Daphnia pulex: one gene and its partner. The protein of the gene in region 1 interacts with the protein of each later gene in a pairwise test. Links are inferred from orthologs where the notes say so. Each region holds a gene or a part of one and is shown in the gene's direction. Other genes may lie near its edges. The genes, in order: protein patched-like and E3 ubiquitin-protein ligase NEDD4-like.

The links.
Region 2: the proteins of protein patched-like (region 1) and E3 ubiquitin-protein ligase NEDD4-like interact in a two-hybrid assay, tested with the Drosophila melanogaster proteins (2 studies listed by BioGRID). The link is inferred for Daphnia pulex from reciprocal best matches to the Drosophila melanogaster genes ptc and Nedd4.

The regions. Positions count from the first base shown.
Region 1 is NC_060018.1:5,077,908-5,087,870, forward strand, and holds the start of protein patched-like, read left to right. Parts: upstream 1-4,612; 5' UTR 4,613-5,211; coding exon 5,212-5,394; intron 5,395-5,908; coding exon 5,909-6,101; intron 6,102-9,165; coding exon 9,166-9,358; intron 9,359-9,963. UniProt on the Drosophila melanogaster protein: Segmentation polarity protein. Acts as a receptor for the hedgehog protein (hh). Associates with the smoothened protein (SMO) to transduce the hedgehog signal leading to the activation of wingless, decapentaplegic and patched itself.
Region 2 is NC_060022.1:1,839,149-1,849,046, forward strand, and holds E3 ubiquitin-protein ligase NEDD4-like, read left to right. Parts: upstream 1-3,683; 5' UTR 3,684-3,946; coding exon 3,947-3,985; intron 3,986-4,134; coding exon 4,135-4,211; intron 4,212-4,273; coding exon 4,274-4,355; intron 4,356-4,418; coding exon 4,419-4,618; intron 4,619-4,707; coding exon 4,708-4,912; intron 4,913-4,985; coding exon 4,986-5,154; intron 5,155-5,221; coding exon 5,222-5,361; intron 5,362-5,728; coding exon 5,729-5,794; intron 5,795-5,883; coding exon 5,884-5,974; intron 5,975-6,038; coding exon 6,039-6,156; intron 6,157-6,243; coding exon 6,244-6,347; intron 6,348-6,413; coding exon 6,414-6,538; intron 6,539-6,619; coding exon 6,620-6,849; intron 6,850-6,908; coding exon 6,909-7,271; intron 7,272-7,333; coding exon 7,334-7,562; intron 7,563-7,638; coding exon 7,639-7,808; intron 7,809-7,892; coding exon 7,893-7,995; 3' UTR 7,996-8,650; downstream 8,651-9,898. Other genes in the region: integral membrane protein DGCR2/IDD-like, read left to right, coding at 1-36, 129-208; integral membrane protein DGCR2/IDD-like, read left to right, coding at 1,603-1,809, 1,878-2,109, 2,194-2,287, 2,354-2,514, 2,577-2,783, 2,846-3,069. UniProt on the Drosophila melanogaster protein: Essential E3 ubiquitin-protein ligase which accepts ubiquitin from an E2 ubiquitin-conjugating enzyme in the form of a thioester and then directly transfers the ubiquitin to targeted substrates.

The DNA.
Region 1 (9,963 bases):
TGAAGGGTCTTGAAAAAGAGACGAATGACTCCAGCAGTCAAGAGTTGCTGGCTGTGTGTGTGTGTGTATATCTTTCGTTTGGTTGGTTGGCTGCTGGTGGCATTCGACACGCTGCCAAGGCGGGAGGAAACGGAGAAGAAGAAGAAGAAGTTAATATTGCGCCCTGATTGAATCCAGCCACAGTTGAAGAGGACCACCCAAGAAGGCCGCGCTTTTCTGTTCCCAACTGGCGACCAAAATGGAGGAGATGGCGCACGATATAACATACAGACACACACACACAGAGAGAACTATATGGTTGTTGTTGTTGTTGTTCTCCGTGTGGCTTATCGCTCATCTTCCTGGAAGGGTGGAGGAGAAAATTTCAGAACAAAAAATATCCCACGCGATGGTTGTTGTAGAAGATGAAAGTCGGGCTCATCCCGAATAAGGCAATTATGTCGTCTACAAAAGAGATGAACGTATTACAATGGAAAAAAGAACTTTTTTTCCTTTTTCTTTTTGGATGGGAAATGATTTATTTACTCCCGAGAGTCGCGCCAAACGGGCGGACATCCAAAGTTAAGAAAGTTCTTTTTTTCTTCTTCTCCTCCAGTCTGTGCATTGTATCAATGAGCGTGAAAGGGAGAAGACCACCCAAGTTGTGCGTGTGTATATATACCACGGGTGTGTGTGCATGTGTGTGTATATAGAGACATGGATGCCATCAGGCAGGGAGAGACGGGGTTATTTGGGCGACAGAGGCCAAAAGAATTAGGCTCTTCTTTCTAAACTTTTTTTTATTTTTTCTTTCTGAAACAGATAGAGGGTGATGGACACCACCACCACAGGGTGGCTCAGAAGAAGAACCCCCAGAGGAAGAGGGAAATGGAGAGGGTCCTGCTGATGGTAGTAAAAACAAGGTTCATCAACGCATCAAGGTGTCAACTCTGCAACTCGAGAAAGAAGAAGAAGAAGAAGAAGAAACAACAAGACCAAACTCCTCCTTTCCTTTTCGCTTCCCCCCTTAATAACGGCCGAAAAAGAAGATCTTAACTTTTTTGGGGGTCCGTCTTTTTATGTCCAACGCCACCCATCCAGCCAGCAGGGCCCATCAAAAAATAAAGAAAATCCGCACACACACAGTGTCTCTAGGCCCTGGACTGTAAAAGACGACCTTTCCGTCTCTTATTGCCTTTTGGAACGGGGGGGTTAGAAAAACAACATAAAATCTTATATAGTTATTTATATTGAGACATTGCATAGTATAGCTGGTTCTATAAAAGATGGGGACCATTTTCGGCCAGCTCAGGAATTTGTTGGTTAGTTTCTTACGACCGAAAAAATGAATAAGAGTTGGGCGAAAAAATAAAATGCGCACATCCGCCATAGGGTTTACGCAATCACTTTGTAACCGCCTGTGTGTGTATACTACATTCGTTTGATTCTTTTTCCTGCTTACATAACCGACAACTATACACCTTGATGGCACACACACACATCCTGTGTGTGTTGGTGCATTTGATGGTGCATGAGAGGAATGCGCCATCTGACGGTGTTATTCCTCCGTCTGATGGTGTGCGCCTTGATTGTTTCTTTTATCGGATTGAGCTGCTCGCCAACGGATAGAAGAAGAAAACAAGTGCCGTGTGGGGTCGGCCAAAGAAGAAGAAAAAAGAAGATACTGAGAGGTGCGCCCGTGAGTTTTGTTTGTGTGTTTGTCTTGTCCGGGAGGAGACCCCCAACACCCCAAAGAGAATCAGATGCTCCGGAGCCGGAGAGACTTTTTGATAGTGTATCTTCTTTCTTGTTTTCTTTCTTTCTTCTTCTTTCTTTTTTGGGACGACGGTGAAACTATTCGAATAATAGTGTAGACGAAGCTCGAGGAGCCAAAGGAGCGCTGCTGCTGGCTGCCAGGAGCAACAGAAGTCAGAGACCACCCAAGTCGACGAATAACAACAAACCCGACTGGTTCATGGATAGATAAGAAGAAGAAAATAACTCGGGTCGATCAGAGATCGCCGGCCAATAAAGAAACTTGAAGACGGGAAAGAAGAAGAATTTAAAAAAAAACGAAGAACGAAAAAAGAGTTTCGCAAATGTCGACGTGTGTTATGTATAGGGACCGGTGAGACGATTGATGGATGACAAAACTAAATGGCCGATGCCGCGCTCTTTTTCCTTATAAACGGTCGGTCACGATAGATTACGTGGCCTGTTAAGGATTTTATTTTTTTTTTTGGCGCAACAATGACTCGGATTCAACCCCAGTCTAAGCGGACACGCAATAAAAGGGAGTTTAAGGTTTCAAGAAAAATCTCTTCTTATAGTCTCGGACAATGGAACATTCACCCGGGACCCCAAAAAGTTAGACGAGAGGCCCCCTTTTGACTTAATGGATGTTATTAAGGTATATATATAAAGAATGAGAGATTCTCTAAAGGTATGGCTCTCTTCTCTCTATAGATCGGCCCCATTTGTGCGTAAGAAAAGAGCAGAAGATCCGGGGGTAAGAAAATAAAAGAGAAACGATAAATTATTCTCGGCGTCGGCATCGTTCGAGCGGCGGCGGCGATCTGAGGCAATGAGATCTATTGTGTGTACAGTTTCAAGGGAAAAGAAAAGAATCTTGAAGAAGAAAAAGGTTTTTTTTTTCTTCTTCTTCTTCTTCAACCCTCCCGCCATACAACATTTACCTGTGTAAAGATTCCCCCCTCTCCCAACTCTTCTTCTTCAACCAACCTGTCAGACTCCATATCTCCATCGACCATCTTATCTTATTTATTTCCTTTTTTTCTTCCTATTTTACAAGGGGGGACTCTTCTTTCCGAAATAATAATAAAAATAAAACACAAGCCATGAATCGTGTAGTGGTGGGTTCACATTTTTTCCAGTTCAATTCTTTCTACTCTACGAAAATTGAGAGCGTAATGCAACGCTGGAAAACAAAAGAAGAACGAACAATTTTCCAGGGGGTTTTGTGTTCTTCAATCAGTCAAGCGATCGATTGGATTTTTATACTCGAGTAAAATAAAAAAGGAGAGAATTTTATTATAGAGTTTGATGAAATAAAAACAATCTAAGATGGCCGACAGCTTTTTTCTTTTGGTACAAGAGAGAGAAAAACCTTTCCCAATAGAAAAGAGTGATGGTGTACATGGAAAGAGAGAGAGAGAGAGGACCACCCAACATGAAAACGACTCGGAGACTTCACAAAACCACACAGACGCACTTCTTTTAAAAAAAGAACTCTCCCGTAAGTAAAAGAAGTTGTCTTTTTTCTTTCTTTCTTCTTTCTCTTATGGCAGCCATTGCCAATTCTTTTTTTTTTTTGTTCCCCGACATTTTCTTTTTTGTACACACACGGTTCTGTTCTGTGTGTTTGATTGTTGACAAATCTCGAGTAGACACACAGTGTATGTGTGTATATAACTCTCGAGTGAGAAAGAGAGTTGTGCTGTGTGCAACAAGTAAAAAAAAAGAAAAAAACATGGTCAAAGTTCGTTGGCAATTAAAGTTTTGGCCTGGGCCGTAATTGCCCAGGCACATCCGCCACCAGATTACACTAACAGCGCCACTCTCTTTTTTCTTTCTTTTCTTCCACACCATCTTTTCTTTTTTAAAATAAAAAACTCTTCTTTCTTTCTTTCTTTTTTACCTGTGTGACTATAACCGTAAAAGAACGCGGGCACGAGAAACTGACAAGAGAATAGAGTCATTAAAATAATGACTTCTTTTCTCAGGGATGCAGTGCAGCACACAAGTTGGGCTGTGCAGACGAAAAACATTGGAAAACGGTTGGTTCGTTGGTTCGTCGTGATCGAAATAAATCTCCACCAACATTTGACTTTTTCTCTAAAGAAATGATGTGTGTGTGTGTGTGTGGTAGAAATTTTTTCGTCTACGTGAGCAAAGTTGTTGGAATTAAAAAGAGGAAGTTGTGCATGTGTGTGTGTATATATACAAGAAGAAGAAGAAGAAAAAAAGGTTTTTGGGGTTCTTGGCCGTCGTGTGGGGTCCAGGGCTTTTGTGTATTGCCCGTGGGTTTGGTGTTCTGCGTGTTGCCCAGGCAACGGCTAAGACCACCCCCACAAGTCCGAACTACAGTGTGTACGCTATACACACTCGCGCCCCCTTTCACTGGGAAAATGTTTTGTCTCTTTTAGATGGTGGATGGAACTTTTTAAAAAAGAAATAGAAAAACGAAGGTCCAATGAATGGAATCCGAGTCGGATCCGCTGCTGCTGCCATTTTTCAAAGTCTTGGGTTTCAAATTTCCCCACTTGGAGAACTCTGTCCCGAATATTCAATTACACATTGAACGATTGCTGAGCCGATTAGACCAAAAGTCATTCCTCCGTTTATAACTATTAATCGCATCTTTTCCAACATTTCAAAACGAAATTTTCCTTTTTAAAAAAAATATACTTGAAAAAGAAGAAAATGGCGCGCTGTAGTTTGTCGATCCGCCACGTGGTGGTTGACGCGGTGGGCGGGCGACCCGAAAAATTTCCTTAGCCTGCGGGTATCCCCAGCCAAACTCGAAAAAGAAGGAGGGACACTGGGTGGTGGTAGCGGGGGGGGGGGGGAGGAGGTCTAGCGGGGCGTGCGTGTACTAAGCTAGCGGCCATCTCTCCTCGAGTTTTCAGTCGACAAGCAGGAAGCTACAAGAAGAGTCGTGTGTCTCTTTCTCTGAAACACACACACACAAACCGAGTGTGAAATATCTATATTTTTTTCTTCCAAAGTGTGTGTGAATTTGAAGAAATTTAGTGTGTGAACGAAACAAGAATTTTCAAGTCCCCAACCAAAAGAAACTCGAAAGAACGACGACATTTTCTGGTTTCTATCACCAACACGGATTAACCAAAAAGACGACGACGACGGATGGTGTTCGTCCCCTAACAATTTCTTCCACAGTGTGTTGTTGTGCCGTTAGAATCAGCCATTTCTTTTCTATTTTCCTCCCCCTAGAAATTTGTTCGGTGTGTCACGAAATTTCGCCCCATGGTTGTGTGTTGTTTAGCCCGTCATGAAACGAGGCCATGTTAGGCTGCTGGTCGGTTGCGACCGCTGCTGGTGATCATCATCGTCAAAGTTGTTGTTGTTGTTGTTGTTGTTCAGTGCCGCAGCCGCCGAGTGTGTTTCCGTTGAAATCGCCCGACGTGTCGGGAGACGAGGAATTGCTTGCAGACGAAAACGAATCATCACGAACGGCGCTGTAGTAGTGTCATGGCCATAACGATGCACTCGCACGCCGCAATGGAGAAATCGAATGGCGGATGCTCGAAAACTTCTTCACTGACACCTCAAGACGCTTACGCGGCACTCTGCACCAGCAGCAGCGTCGATTCCGACTTGTTGACCAGGACGAGCTGGACAGATGCCCGGCTCGCCCTTCATCAAATCAAAAAGGTGCGTCTTTATAAAACATCTTCTTCTTCTTCTTGTGAATAAACAATTGCATAAGATAATTTATGCTGCGTGTAAGTACGAAAAAAACACAGAGAAAAAGTCTGTGGTGGCTATGCCAAGGTGAGGTGTATATTTTCGGGTGGATGGTATAGACCGTCGGTATATAGGGGGCTCTGGCATCGCCCGACGGAATGAAGACATCAACAACAACGGGGGCCCCTGCTGCAACAACCGACTGTGTACTACCAACCAAGAGAGAGAAAGAGAAACAGTTGAGGCCAAGCCATCGCTCAAGGGCGTAGGCCCCAACACAAAAACCCATCAGCCACTCTCTTTCCTTTACCTCTCCTTTTTTAACTTGTTTTTCCTCCTTTCCACAACCATTCGCTGCTGCCCAACTGATTCAAGGGGGCTGCGCTGGAAGGATATAAAAACATTCCGGAATCTCATAGATTTTTATTTTTGTTCGTTTCTGACGTCTCTATTTTCTTTTATTTATTTATTTTTCCAATAGGGTAAAGCATCAGGCAACAAAGCGGCGCTGTGGTTAAGGACGAAACTTCAGTGGCATCTCTTCCACCTGGGCCGATTCGTCCAACGGCACGCGGGCAAAGTCCTTTTCGTTGGACTCCTCGTCCTGTCCACCTTCTGCGTCGGCCTCAAATCCGCCAGCATTCAAACGGACGTCGAGAAACTCTGGGTCGAAGGTAATACAACACTTTTGATCCCTTCAAAATAGGATCTCCCCCTCCTCATCCATTGATGCGTTGTTGGGCTCTCCATCCGCTTCTTCTTTTTCTCCGGCATTGCCAACACATACACAGAGAGAGAGACCGGAAAAAGAACTTGGCTGGAACACCCGAAAATAGACGGCCCTTGTTTGAGAGAGAGAGAGGGTGTTTTATGTTCCCCTTTGCCCCAAATCCGCCCGCATCGGATGATTCTCTTTCACGATTGGTGGCCATTACCAGGTCCGCTATTTACTATAGAACCCCTCTTCTTCTTCTTCTTTTTGTTATTTCTCCTCTGGAATGTTTAGCACCTACCCAACAATCAACAGCAAGACGAGGTCTCTATCCATTCTAGATGGCCAGGGGAGAGAACATGTCTTCATTAGGGCGGCAGCCTCCAGCTGGATTTGATTCCCCTGGACCGTATCTTTAATGAACTCTCTGCAGGTCGCGGTATTTCCCCCCCCCCCTTCTCACAAGAGAATCGTGTTATTTGCCAAGCCAAACCTGCACACATGTTCACATGGGAAATTTTTCATCCTTCTGTCAAAAAAAAAAAAAAAGGAAAATGTAGTTGTTGTTCGGGGGGTTCCATATGGTCCTGTCGTTTCCCCCCTCTCCGAAATCAGACACCCCCCTTCCACCCCTTGAAGAAGAAAAGTTATTTTCCAAAGTAAAAATTAAAAAACAGCTGCTAGGTTCTTTTGGCGGCCTTTTGTGAAGAACATACCTGATCACGCAGGTTTTTTCTTCTTCTCTTATTTTTGGCTGATGATGACGTACGGCCAAATTGTCACCCGAGGAAGAAAAAAAGAAACAACATTGGAGAGAGAGAAGTTATAAAATTCTTGTTTGGACCACCCAACGGAAGGGAACGAAGGTACAGCACACCCAAAGTTGGGCACAAGAGGAAGAAAAGACAGCGGGGTGGAGAGAGAATTTACGAGCTAGAAAAGAATGTTTTTTTTTTTTTTTTTACTTCTTCTTCTCTTTCTTTTCCTTCCCCCCTTTCTTCTTTGGTCCATTGTATCCAGCCAGCGTACCTGAAAACTTTTCTTCTTCTTTTCATTTGTGCGTGTGTGTTACTCTTGTAGAGCGAGAAGAGAGGCTATCGGTCGTCCCTTTTCTCAATTGACCCGTCAAACTCGTTACAATAGGAAAAGATTTTTTCTCTCTCTCCTATTCTTTTCCTTATTCTTTTCTGACCTCCATCTTCTTTTTTTCTCTCTATTATTCCATCACTTCCGACGATTGCGTCTCCCCATTTGAATTTTGGAAATCCAGCGATCAGGGGGTGGTGCGCATAATAGGCACTTTATAGTGCCCAGTACAGTAGAGAGAGTAGAGATATCGTCGACACACAATACGTTTAGATCAGTTTTTTTAAAAAGGAATGCCGTCTTCTTGTTCTTCTTCCTACCCAAAACATCAAGGTCAGCCCTGCTTCTGGGTTCTTCGACAAGACAAGAGAGACCGGCTGGTAGTAGTTTCCCTCACACACACACACACATAGAACCCTCTTTCGGTCGTTTTTTCTTTCCTTCTTCTTTGGCTGGTAAGAAAAATACAGTTTTTTTTTTCAGTTCGTTTCTTAGTCTCTCTCTCTCTCTCTTCTGCTTTCATCCGAGTTTTCTTCTTTGCGTTTACTTTGCTCGCGGGGAAGACTCATGCGGATGCTATATACTCTCTCTCTATTCCTTTTTTATTCTTCTTCATTCTTTTTTCCTTTTCTCTTCGGGGCCGGTTGAGCGCGTTCGGCCACCCAGTGAGACACGCAACACATGCACTGCACGTCGCCCCCTCTACACACACACACAACGGGAAGAGAAAAAAGAAGTTTTTTTTTTTTTTTGTTATTTTGGTCGGGTTGGCCATTGATGGCAGAGAGAATCGAAATGGAATAGAGTAAAGAGAGATAGATATATATGTGTGTGTGTACGTGTTGGCTGGTGGATTGTGAATCCATCACGTCACTCTGGAAAATCAGTTGGATCTGATTTTCTCCCCAAAAGAAACAAAACTTCTTTTTGTCTCTCGAGCGTTCCGTTTTGGTGTTTCGGTCATTTTCGGTCGGTCGGTTGTTTTGGATAGCCAAGACAGCCGAGAATGGAATTTGCATTGGAGAAGCCTTAAAGGTCCCTAAGGGTCCAGCAATCGGCCACCCATAGCGAGAGAGAGAGAGTCCCAACTCTGAAGGCTGCTGTTTTATAAGCGTATCGTTTTAATTGACTTGTTGGCCGTGATGTCTTCACTCGACGAGTCAAAGAGAAGCAATAGAAGGAGAGAATGTCTATGTATTTATTCAAAAACCGGTCCTAGAGCTATGGCCCATACGATTTCGGCCAAAAAAGAAAATACAGCCCCGTCTTTTTCTTCTTTCTTTTCGCCTGGCAATCGGTAAAAGCGTAAACGTTAGATTGGCTAGACAAACTCGGGTGTTTAAAATATGAGCAACCTCTCTTTTTGAAAAAAAGAAAAAGAAAAAAAAAAAAACATTATTTACAGGAAGCTCATTAAAAACGGCGCCGCAGAGCCGTTCGGGAAAAGAGGTTGTTCAACTTGACCACTTGAACACTCTGAATTCTTCTTTATTTTTTCTTCTTCTTCTTTTTGGACTGAAAGAAAACATTCTGGGTGGGACGCGAGAGAAAATCCCGCGTGATTCCGATGAAAAAAAAAAAACTCCGAGCCAAGGGAAAAAGAAGAAGACAAACTTTGAGGTGGGCAATTGCGTATTCGGTCGGCGTTTCTCCTGAAACATTGTGAGATGTTGTTGTTGTTGTCTATACGCTGGAGAAATGCCTGCGAGTCTCTCTCTTAACCTGTGATTATCTCGAGGGGCTTTTCAAGAGTGGAGGTATATCGTTAAGAGAGTCGAGGGCTTAATGGCGGCCGAGTTGATGGCTCTATCGGTCGGTTGGTCGGTCGGTCGGTCGGGAGAAGATGAAGAAGAAAGAGGAGGGTTTTGTGTGTGCCCTTGAACTAATGGAGTTATTTTATTTTATTCTTTTTCTCTGAAAAATGTGTTGATCCTGCACAGAGGGTGGCCGTTTGGAGAAGGAGTTGGCCTACATGAGACGGACGCTGGGCGAAGGAGCCGGCTCGACCCATCAGATCCTCATCCAGACGCCGAGTAACGGCCAAGGCGGCTCCTTACTCAGCCGCGACGCGCTGCTGGCCCACCTGCGGGCCGTCCAAGCCGCCACCAAAGTCACCGTCGAAATGTTCGATACGTAAGTGTTTCTTTCTTTCTTCTTTTTCTGGCCAGCGCCGCCATCTTCCTTTTTTTGTTGTTAATTTTGTGTATAGACATAAATGCGCCTGTGTGTGTGTGTGTATATATTTATGTACATACACACACACACACACACAACACTTGGTGGAAGAATTTGGAAGAGAGAGAGTTTCTCTCTTTTTCTTTTTTTTTTTTTCATTTTTGTTTGATTTTTCTAATCTGGGGGCCCCATCGGCCGTCGCCTGGGTGGCCTCTCTCCGGCGCCGACTGAATGAGTTTCCAGTCTACTTTTGGCTCGCAAACAAAACACAATAACCGGTTCTTTTTGAAGTATTTTGTTGTTGTTGTTTCTTTCTTTTTTTCCTTCCATCCATCCATCGTCTTCTTTTTCTATTGAAGAAAAAGAAAAAAAGGAAAAAATTTCTATGTGTAGACTTGTGAATATTTGAGCCCCATCATCGATTTAACCCGACGAAGATGAAGATATCTGGCTGCCCTCCAAAACGATGAAGACGGCCCGCCGCGCTGTAATAAAGTCGGGCCCCGACTTTTTCAAAAAAGAAAAAAGACACTGAAACAGAGATGGAGGGTTGGGGGAATAGA
Region 2 (9,898 bases), on another chromosome or scaffold:
ACTACCTTCACAGAAAGAACCGTAAGATGGCAACAGGTAATTAATAAGATTGAAAAATCAAAGTGCTTGTTTTGCACATCTCACAATAATGATTGGAAATGTATGCTAAACAATATTCTATGTTTCAGGCATATCGATGAACAAATCCGATGCCGATGTCGCATTAGTCGACCACTCGTCCATTTACGAAAAGAAAGTGAAGATTTAGATGTGTTACATATTAAGTTTGCATGAATCTCGTTCCGGTTAACTTTGAATATTTTAAACCAACCTATTACTTGATCATTATTATAAACACTATGATTGTATTGTTATATTTATCCCGTTTCTAGAGAAATGCGGTCGCTGTCTCTTCTATCGGACGTGTTGTGTTCTGTTAGAGAGGCGCGGAGATTTGAAGAGCGTCAAATGTTGTGTAGTTAACGTTATTATACTATATCCGTTTCCAATAAACTTCGTATAGCTAGAGATAAAGGGTTAATCCTTTGTATTTATTTTAATTTGTTTACATTTTAAGGCGTGAAGAAATACGAGTCTCCAAATACAATACTCCCACTGGTCACTGAAAAGGGATAAGGTTTCCATACAGATCGGCTTCCTTTAAAGGTTGCGTGGTGGAGAATAAATATATGTAGACTCTGCTGAAAATGGTCTGTTTACATCTGCTGCATGGCCATAAAATTTTGCCAAGCTCTGCACGCACCTCAACGGCTCCGACCTAAATAGATTCACGGAAACCAAGTTTCAGTTTGAATAAAGAAGTGCTGTGTAAGCTACCCAACCTATATCCTTCAAATACCAACAGCTATGCGTCATAAAACGAAACAGAATTTAAGATGCCTACAAAAACAAACAAATCTAGTAGAAAATTACTTTGTTTTGAGCACTATAATTAATTAGAACCGAGAACATCGATCCGCTCAACTACCGGACGTAGTAAATTTGGAGTATAAGACAAAGAAGATTTTTTCCTTAGTACTTGAATAGCATTTTTTCTGGATAGGTTTGAATTAATACATCTGTAAAAACTTGTTTATTGCCTTTGGCATTCCATCTTCATACCAAAAAAAGGGTTTTGATGACTTTAACTCAGAAAGAAAAGGCATTCCCTCCTCAAACCCACGACTTCCTGCTGTACTCCATCTAGCATCTGTTGTGCTGGTTTCGACGTTAGGTGGCGCGTCAGTCGATTGTTTTTAGTACTACATTTTTCTGTAAAGAGTGTCATTTTTGAGCTGAACGCGTACTCGTGTGTTTATCAGGAATATACCTCCATGATAAAGTGTTGATAGCAAAGTGTTATTTATCACTGCCTAAAATAAGTTTTCAGTTTTTTTCGCGCAGCTTTTTGTAGAACAAGATAGGGTGGTTTTATACTCTATATGGCTTGTTACTATCTCTTGTCTTTTCAAAGTCAAGTTCTCGAGGCGACCTGGTATTTGAAAACCTGGATAAATTGACATAACAGGAACATTTTTCCGCTCCCATTCCTTTCGTGACTTGGCGTGACGTGACTGCCAGGTAAACAACGCAGCCAATTAATTCATAGGGGAAAGTCGTGTAAAGTGGTTCTAATCAATATTCACACACAACTATTTTAGAATGCCTGGTGAAAGGTTCCTTGTTGCCACCCCTGATAGTTCCCAAGAAGATGAAATCGGTGTTTTTGGAGAGAGCTGCCAAGATATTAATGGAAGGACCATCACTGGTGGGAATCACTATGTTCCAGGCCCAGATTCCTGTACAGTCTGTCTTTGTGATGGAGGAAAGCCAAAATGGTGCCAAGCGGTCTTGTGTGCTGCTCCCAAGGTACATTATAACAACAAAAGATTTTTAAAAGTCAAGCAAATGTTAATTTTGATCAAATTCATTCACAGGATTGCAAATCCTTCAGAATTGGAAGTTCTTGCTGTGAATTCATTTGCTTGGACAACACTGAAGGAGGGAATGATGAAGGTTCCATCGATGTTACGTGGGGTGATGAGAACTGGGTTGGGGGGGATTTGGGTTTACGTTTAATAGCAACAGCAGTCACTGCTGTACTCTCACTGGCTCTTTTAGCCTTCCTCTTTTATCGGTTAAAGAGACGTCGTGTGCGGAATCATTCAGGTAATGCTGAATCAATATGCATTTATATCAATGTTATTGAATATCTCTTACTACAATTTTATTCTTTTACATTTTATTCAACAGCTTGTCATGAATTGGAAGGAGATACAATTCCCTCAAGTAGTATAGCGAGTTTTGATCATGGAGATCTGACGAGTAGTACTGGACATCTCAGCAGGTAGCGTAAAGTTACATTATCGGAGTAATCAATTTCGGCTAATGATGTTGTATGTTATGTGCACAGACAACCTCAACCCTTAATGAATCTTGGAGAAAATCAATCTTCAATTTACATGATGTGGAAGCTACCTAATTCGTCCGTCACGGATAACCCACCGCCCTATTCTGAAAATCCATCCAATCGTCTAGTTATCGAAGAAAGTGAAAACAGCCGCGAAACCACAAGTAAAAACAGAAGTTTTTATTTCGTATTTCAACAAATTTAATGCATTATATTTATGTTGCAGGTCTTTTAGTTGTTCCATCCGCTCCGTCGAATGATTTAGTCGAAACACCTATGAGTCACACGTTGATGTTACGACGGAGCAACGATACTTTGGATTCTAGCGATTTTTTGGACGCGGGAACACCTCCTCCTAGTTACGCAGAAGTTCTTGCTTGTATTTCAACTCCAGCTATGAATGAGATAGAAGGAGGGGCCTCCTCAGTCAGGGGTAATGTTAGTTGAGAAATGTTTAATTTACACAGCTGTTGAATTGGAATGCTTTGTTTATAGAAGACGACGACGAACTTCCTTCTGCTCAATGGAGGAATAGTTTGAACTTGCCGAGAGAACGTTCTCCAGCCGAAGTTGCCATTCAACGTTTCAGCCTACAACTTGCCCTCGATTGCTCAGACACAAGCAGCTGCACGAGCAGTTCAAGTCACGCCCAACCTGGGACTTTGAGCACTTCCTCCTCTTCTTCTGCCGCGTCGATTGCCCATCTGGGCTCCAATTGATTATGTGTACTTATTCTTTAGCAGAATCAAGTATCTACCTAAAGCAGAATCTAGTAGAAGAAATCAGCTACTTCAGTCTAGAAGATCTCGTTTGACTGTTCGATGTATTGATTCTGCTCTCGTTGTGTTGTCACCTTTTACTCGCTTTTCTCTTTTTTACGCGACTATGTGGGGCTTCTCCATGTATTTTCATTTCAAAAAGCCTTCACATAGTTAATTCGTTGTCATCTAGGTTATTTTTGAAAACCTTTGACAAATTTCCTCCATGATGTGTTTTTCGACGGTATTTTCCCCCAATCATTTTGAATTGTATTCATTACAACGTTTCTATTATGTAAAATTATGTGCTTAGACAAAAGGCTTCGAAAATCACAGTCATCTATTGATGGGCACATACGTCATTAATATTATAATCCACATATAGGCAGTCCTGTCGCGGTGACGGTAGGTTGCTTTGAATGTGTTTATTGTAGGGCAGATTTCTCTATATAATCACGCCCCTCATTTCAATTTTTTGTAAACGGTAACGTATTATCTACAGCCGACCACTTTCGAACAAAGAAATAAATTGAGTTCAAGCATGTGCGATGTTTCGTTTTTTTCAAGAGCGCATTTAGTAGAGAGCATTGTCACAAACTCACATCGATGGGTCACGTGACTGACGAAATTCTCCATCAGCTGATATTCATCAGTTCTCGAGTCGACTTTCGTTGCCTACAACTATACAAGTTGTCTGCTCTCTGGTTGTGTTGTACGCTGGGGCTGGGGCGTGAAAAACTTCATTTTCAATTAGTTTGTTCAATTTTAAACCTTGAAAATCTGCAGAGTCAATACTCATTTTTTATCGCATCAAGTCAAGGAAAATTCAAAAGTTTGCATGGCCGAAAGTCGTGTCTATGGGCTCAATAACGCAATGGTACGTACTACGTGTCTAAATACCGAAATATGAAACCTTAAACCCGGACAAATCTGGTCAAAATCAGATTTTGTTTACTTTTTTTTGTTTGAAAGGAAGGCAAATTTCTGTTTGTAAGTCTGTACATGATTTGATATTTATTCTTTTAGCCTGAGCTTACAAGTTTACTTCGTTTACGTGTGATTGCTGGGCATAACCTTTGCAAGAAAGACATATTTGGAGCAAGGTAATAACAAAGTGTGGTGTTTGTTGTATTACTCATGTCCTCACTTTTCTTCCTAAATTTAGTGATCCTTATGTGAGAATTGATTTGGTGGCAAATAATGGAGAACAAGTGATTGATTCAGTGTTGACACGAACCAAGAAAAGGGTATGTTGCAACATCACAGTGCTGCCAGTAGTTTGTTTCTAACTTTAATCATTTACTTCACAGACCTTAAATCCAAAATGGGATGAAGAATTCATATTCCGGGTCAAACCTTCAGAACATAAGCTAGTGATGGAAGTGTTTGATGAAAATCGCTTGACCCGAGATGACTTTCTGGGAATGGTAGAACTTCCTTTGGTTGGACTTCCAAAGGAACTACCAGATACAAGTATACCCAGGAAATATTACATTCTTCGGCCACGAAGGTACATGCTATTTTATGCTAATAGATTGCAATTGCTGTTTCTTATTTTTGCTTTCATGCTTAATGTTTATGTCCTTTATCTTAAAACAGTGCGCGTTCCAAGGTCAAAGGACATCTGCAACTATATCATGCATACATCCCTGATCCAAATGAAGTTTCGGAGATTACAGTAGCCAATGATTCTGTCGCTGCAACCGAGCCTCAAACTCAGGATCCCGAACCTGGTTGGGAAATGGTTGATACGACAGATGGTGTTAATAGTGCTGGACAGGCACAAGTAGAACAGCCAGCTAGAGTAAATCTGATTAAAATAGTTAAAATATTTACATTTATATTCTCGCATACTAATATACTGATTTTTATTCCAGCCCGTTTACGTTCAGGGAAGTTCTTCCGCTCCAGACGTCGCCAATGCAACGGCCCAGTCTGTCCCTTTGCCTTCTGGTTGGGAGGAACGTCAAGATGCTAACGGTCGAACCTATTACGTTAATCATATTGCTCGCACCACCCAGTGGGAGAGACCGTCCATCCAGCCAGGTAAATGAGCAGTCTGGAAGGCTTGTTATTTTATGAGTATTATCACGAATTTTCCTTTCCGTTAAAGCTGTGATTCAGGAACAGCAGTTGGCACGTGAACGTAACCTTGAAACTGCTGGATCGGATATGCAACGACGCTATCACATATCGGACGATGCCCATCCGCTTCAAGCTGGACTAGATGCAGCCGCTGGTATTGCTGATCAGGTAGAGTTGATCTCGTTTTTATTGGGTCTCCCGGTTATGTTTATATCTACTCACGAATTTTGCCACTTTCTTCTGCATGCTGTTTCGGGAAAATCGATATTATTTGAGGAGGATGAATATGACGATGAAGAACTTGATGATTATTATGATGACGGGGACGAATTTGATGATGAATACGATGATTATTGGGATGATACTGCAGAGGGCGATGAACAGGTTTGATTAGCCTGCCTCTGCGCGTTGTTACAGTTGTAAGAAAAGCTAGAAATATTCGATGTAGAATATCGAGCTAGTAGACTATGCTAAACTTACAGTCAGCTTAACCGAATTTGTGCTTACCTCCTCTTGTTTTATTCGAAATTTGTAGTTAAGAGATGTACAAATTAATGGCAGTCCAAGACCTAGTCCAGCGTCACCTCGTCACTCCGTAACGGTAATTAGAATAAAACCTGATTTCCTTTTTCGATGCTGACCTTCCTCATGGCGTGATTTTTAACCCATATCTTTACCCTCAAATTTTAGTCTATTGACGGCGGAGAACAGGTTGCAAATAGTACGTCTCCAACCCCACCAAGACCTGTAGTTGTTCCTAGCAGTGAAGGACTACCACAAGGTACGTGAATCATTCATTTCCTCGTACGTGTACAGCTGCAAACTTCTCGTTTGGAAACATCTAGGTTGGACAGTGCAAGTTGCTCCAAATGGACGTCTATTTTTTATCGATCATAACAAGCGGGCTACAACTTGGGTGGACCCAAGATCAGGGAGACCATCGACACTTCCGCGGCAGAGCCAGTTCGTATTCTTTTTGTTGGGCTTCTCAAACAAAAACAAAGCCAAAAATGAAGGTCATTTCAATAATTCTATTATCTGTTTGTTCAGGAGCCCTGGAAACAAAAACTTCCAAGATGAAGCGCTGGGACCTCTTCCGGAAGGATGGGAAGAAAGAATCCATAATGATGGCAGAATCTTCTACATTGATCATAGTAAGTTGGCATTTTCCGTCAGGTGGTACTCGTACAGCTGACGCTTAATGCATTCTTGACATGCAGATACACGAATTACCCAATGGGAAGACCCCCGTATGTCGAACCCTAATATTGCTGGACCGGCTGTTCCTTACTCACGTGACTATAAAAGGAAGTACGACTTCTTCAAGTCGCAACTTAAGAAACCAGTAATATATTAAATGCCTACAATCTATTGTTGATTGCGTTCTTAGGTTTAATTGTTTTTTTGTTTTTTCCGCTTGTTACAGGCCAACATTCCAAACAAGTTTGAAATTAAAGTTCATCGAGCCTCTATACTGGAAGATTCGTATCGAATTATCAACACTGTCGCCCGACCGGAGCTGCTCAAGACGAAACTTTGGGTAGAATTTGACGGTGAAGTCGGACTCGATTACGGCGGTGTTGCTCGTGAATGGTTCTTTCTTCTCTCTAAAGAAATGTTCAACCCATACTACGGCCTGTTTGAATATTCTGCTATGTAAGTCTCCAATTTAAATTGCTTGCAACTTCAACTTATTCATTTACTTTTGCCTACAGGGACAATTACACGCTGCAAATCAACCCAATGTCTGGATTGTGTACCGAAGACCATCTGTCTTATTTCAAATTCATCGGTCGAGTTGCTGGCATGGCAGTTTATCACGGCAAATTGCTTGACGGCTTTTTCATTCGCCCATTTTATAAAATGATGTTGGAAAAGCCCATCGAACTGAAAGATATGGAGTCTGTCGATACTGAGTACTTCAACTCTCTTGTTTGGATCAAAGAGAACGATCCAAGCGAGTTGGATTTAAATTTTGCTGTCGACGAAGAAAGCTTTGGCAAAACAATCCAGCGCGAGCTGAAGCCTAACGGGACCAACATTCCTGTCACCAATGACAATAAACATGAATACATCAAGTAAGTTTATTTAAGTTAAATTATTTGTTCCAGCGATGATCTACCAATGTTTTGCTCTCTAGTTTGGTGATCCAATGGAGGTTCGTGTCCCGCGTTGAAGCTCAGATGCGTGCCTTCCTCGACGGTTTCAAGGACTTGATTCCTTTGTCGATGCTCAAGATCTTCGATGAAAATGAGCTCGAATTATTGATGTGTGGTATTGGTACCATTGATGTCAAAGATTGGAGAGAACACACCAATTACAAGGGGGATTACAATGCCAACCACATGGTAGTGCAATGGTTTTGGAGGGTAAGTCTCGTCTTTTCTTGAAGTTGTTTTATCGACATCGTCGAAACCTCAATTCGAATATTTCTCCTTTTTTTAGGTGGTTTTATCGTTCAATCCCGAAATGCGTTCTCGAGTCTTGCAGTTTGTTACGGGGACATCACGTGTTCCCATGAATGGATTCAAAGAGCTGTACGGCAGCAATGGCCCACAGCCGTTTACCATCGAGAAATGGGGCACGCCAAATAACTTCCCCCGTGCTCACACTTGGTAAGTTGCATTTTTCATTCCTTTGCGAAACGAAAGACCGTGCAAGATTTTTGACGATGGATTCTGTTTTCCTGTTGTCAATAGTTTCAATCGTTTGGACTTGCCACCTTACGAGAGTTACCAACAGCTAAGAGATAAACTGATCAAAGCCATCGAAGGATCTGAGGGCTTCGCCGGCGTAGATTAAACGTGCCGATAATCTTTAAAAAAAAAAGATTTCTTGTTTGCGTGTGTTTTTCCTGTAGAGATTTCTCTTCTTTCTTATCATTCTTATTCTCTTTCCCTACCACTGTAAGTTGTGTAAGATCATTCATTCCACCAACGGTGCGTGTCGTATAATCGATTTCTGTCTTATGCCTCGAAAACGATCCTCTTTGTTCACGATGCCTATGGAGACGCCGTGTACTCTCTTTATTTACCTTCCCTTTTTCTCCCCTTCCTTGGGTAGTGTACAGTTGGTATATTTCTCTCTATCTTTCTCTTTAACTCTTACTTTTAAACTATGGAAAACATTTGTTACTCCGACATGGCCTGGATCATTTGTCATGAACAGGGTGCTGATGGAGTTTGATTTCGGGGGGTTCGACTTTTGCCATTTCTTGCATCACTTGAGGAAAGTGTAGATGAAGGTGGAAGCAATTTCATTGCGTTTTTCTACTTCCCATTCGACCCATATTCGGTAAAATCGTTGCAATATTATTAACCAACACCATAACATCATCTATTCTTTTCCCCGTCGCGTCGATTTAATCCCGACAATTGCCTGCGTGTTTTGTGTTACAATTTTTTCTCGTTTGTCGCGACTATTCTACACAGTGTGATACATATTATTATACAGTCTATACCCTCTTCTTTAATTATTAATTTTTTTTTCTTTTTTTTTAAAATAACTTCTTTCCCGGTCAACGAAAAAAAAATTATTTGTCTCTTTAAATCCAACGATTTTTTTTTTTTTTTGCCCAAAAAAAAGTTTTACCATTTATTTTTTTGCAGCAATAACATCCCTTTCCTCCTTTGTGTGTCAGTGAAAACAAAAACCTTCCCAAATTCAATACATGAGAGCTATTTACTCAATACGTAATGGCACTCGCTCCATTTTCTTTCGACTCCTCCCAAATTTGTTGATTAAAAAAAGTGCTTTGATGTAGAACTAGATAATTACCGGAACGGGTGTTGGATTCGACATCATAAAATGTTTTTTTGCCCGTTTATAAAATGCATATGGTGTAAAACCATATGGTGGCGGATTGCATTACTGTCCGTGCATAAACGACGAGTTGTGGATTTTTTTTTTCTCTTTTTTTAAAAACTGTTTAAACGTTTTTAATTTCGCTGATTCATTCAAACCCAGCAATGCGGAATAATAGCCACCATGATCGTGATGAATAATCAAATGTCTGTTGTTCCTTCATTTTGTGGCTCTTTGCACCATGTGTTCTATTATGAATTGCAGGTAAATTGTTTTAGAGTGCATAATGACTTAAAGTTCCTACAAAATAATAATTTTATTTTTATTCAGATTTAGGAAATCGTCTGATGTACCAACAATTATAGTCGATCTATTCGTAATCAGTCTCTCCAGGATATGACGATTAAGAAGGGCAATGTTCAAATTTACAGCAAAGGTACGTGACTCGGCGATAAGCGATTTGATCTCTTAGCTAATTGCTGGCTCAATTATATTTCATTCAGATTCTCATTAATCTACTAAGTCTGCTAGATGTACACTGTCTTCCTTTTGACAGATGTTTTACTTTGCCTTCGGGGATAAATGCGTACATTTGAGGTGTTTCCATTCCGAGCCATTTGTGGGTCATTGAGAAGGTCCGTGCAAAAACATTTTCTTTCAAACTTTATTTTTTTTTAAATCATGCTTATTATTTACAGTCAATGAAATCTGTATTGTATACTACACGGAATTTCGTGTGCACAAATGGAATGTATTGAGTCGGAACGCATTTTGGCAGTAGCCAATGAGAACTGCGACCGCAATAATACCGGAAACCAAGCCGGATCGTTCCCGTCGTGTCCGACTTAACACGGTTTTCGCAGTCTGTTTCACTCAATCAAAAAGAACTCACACTACCCAT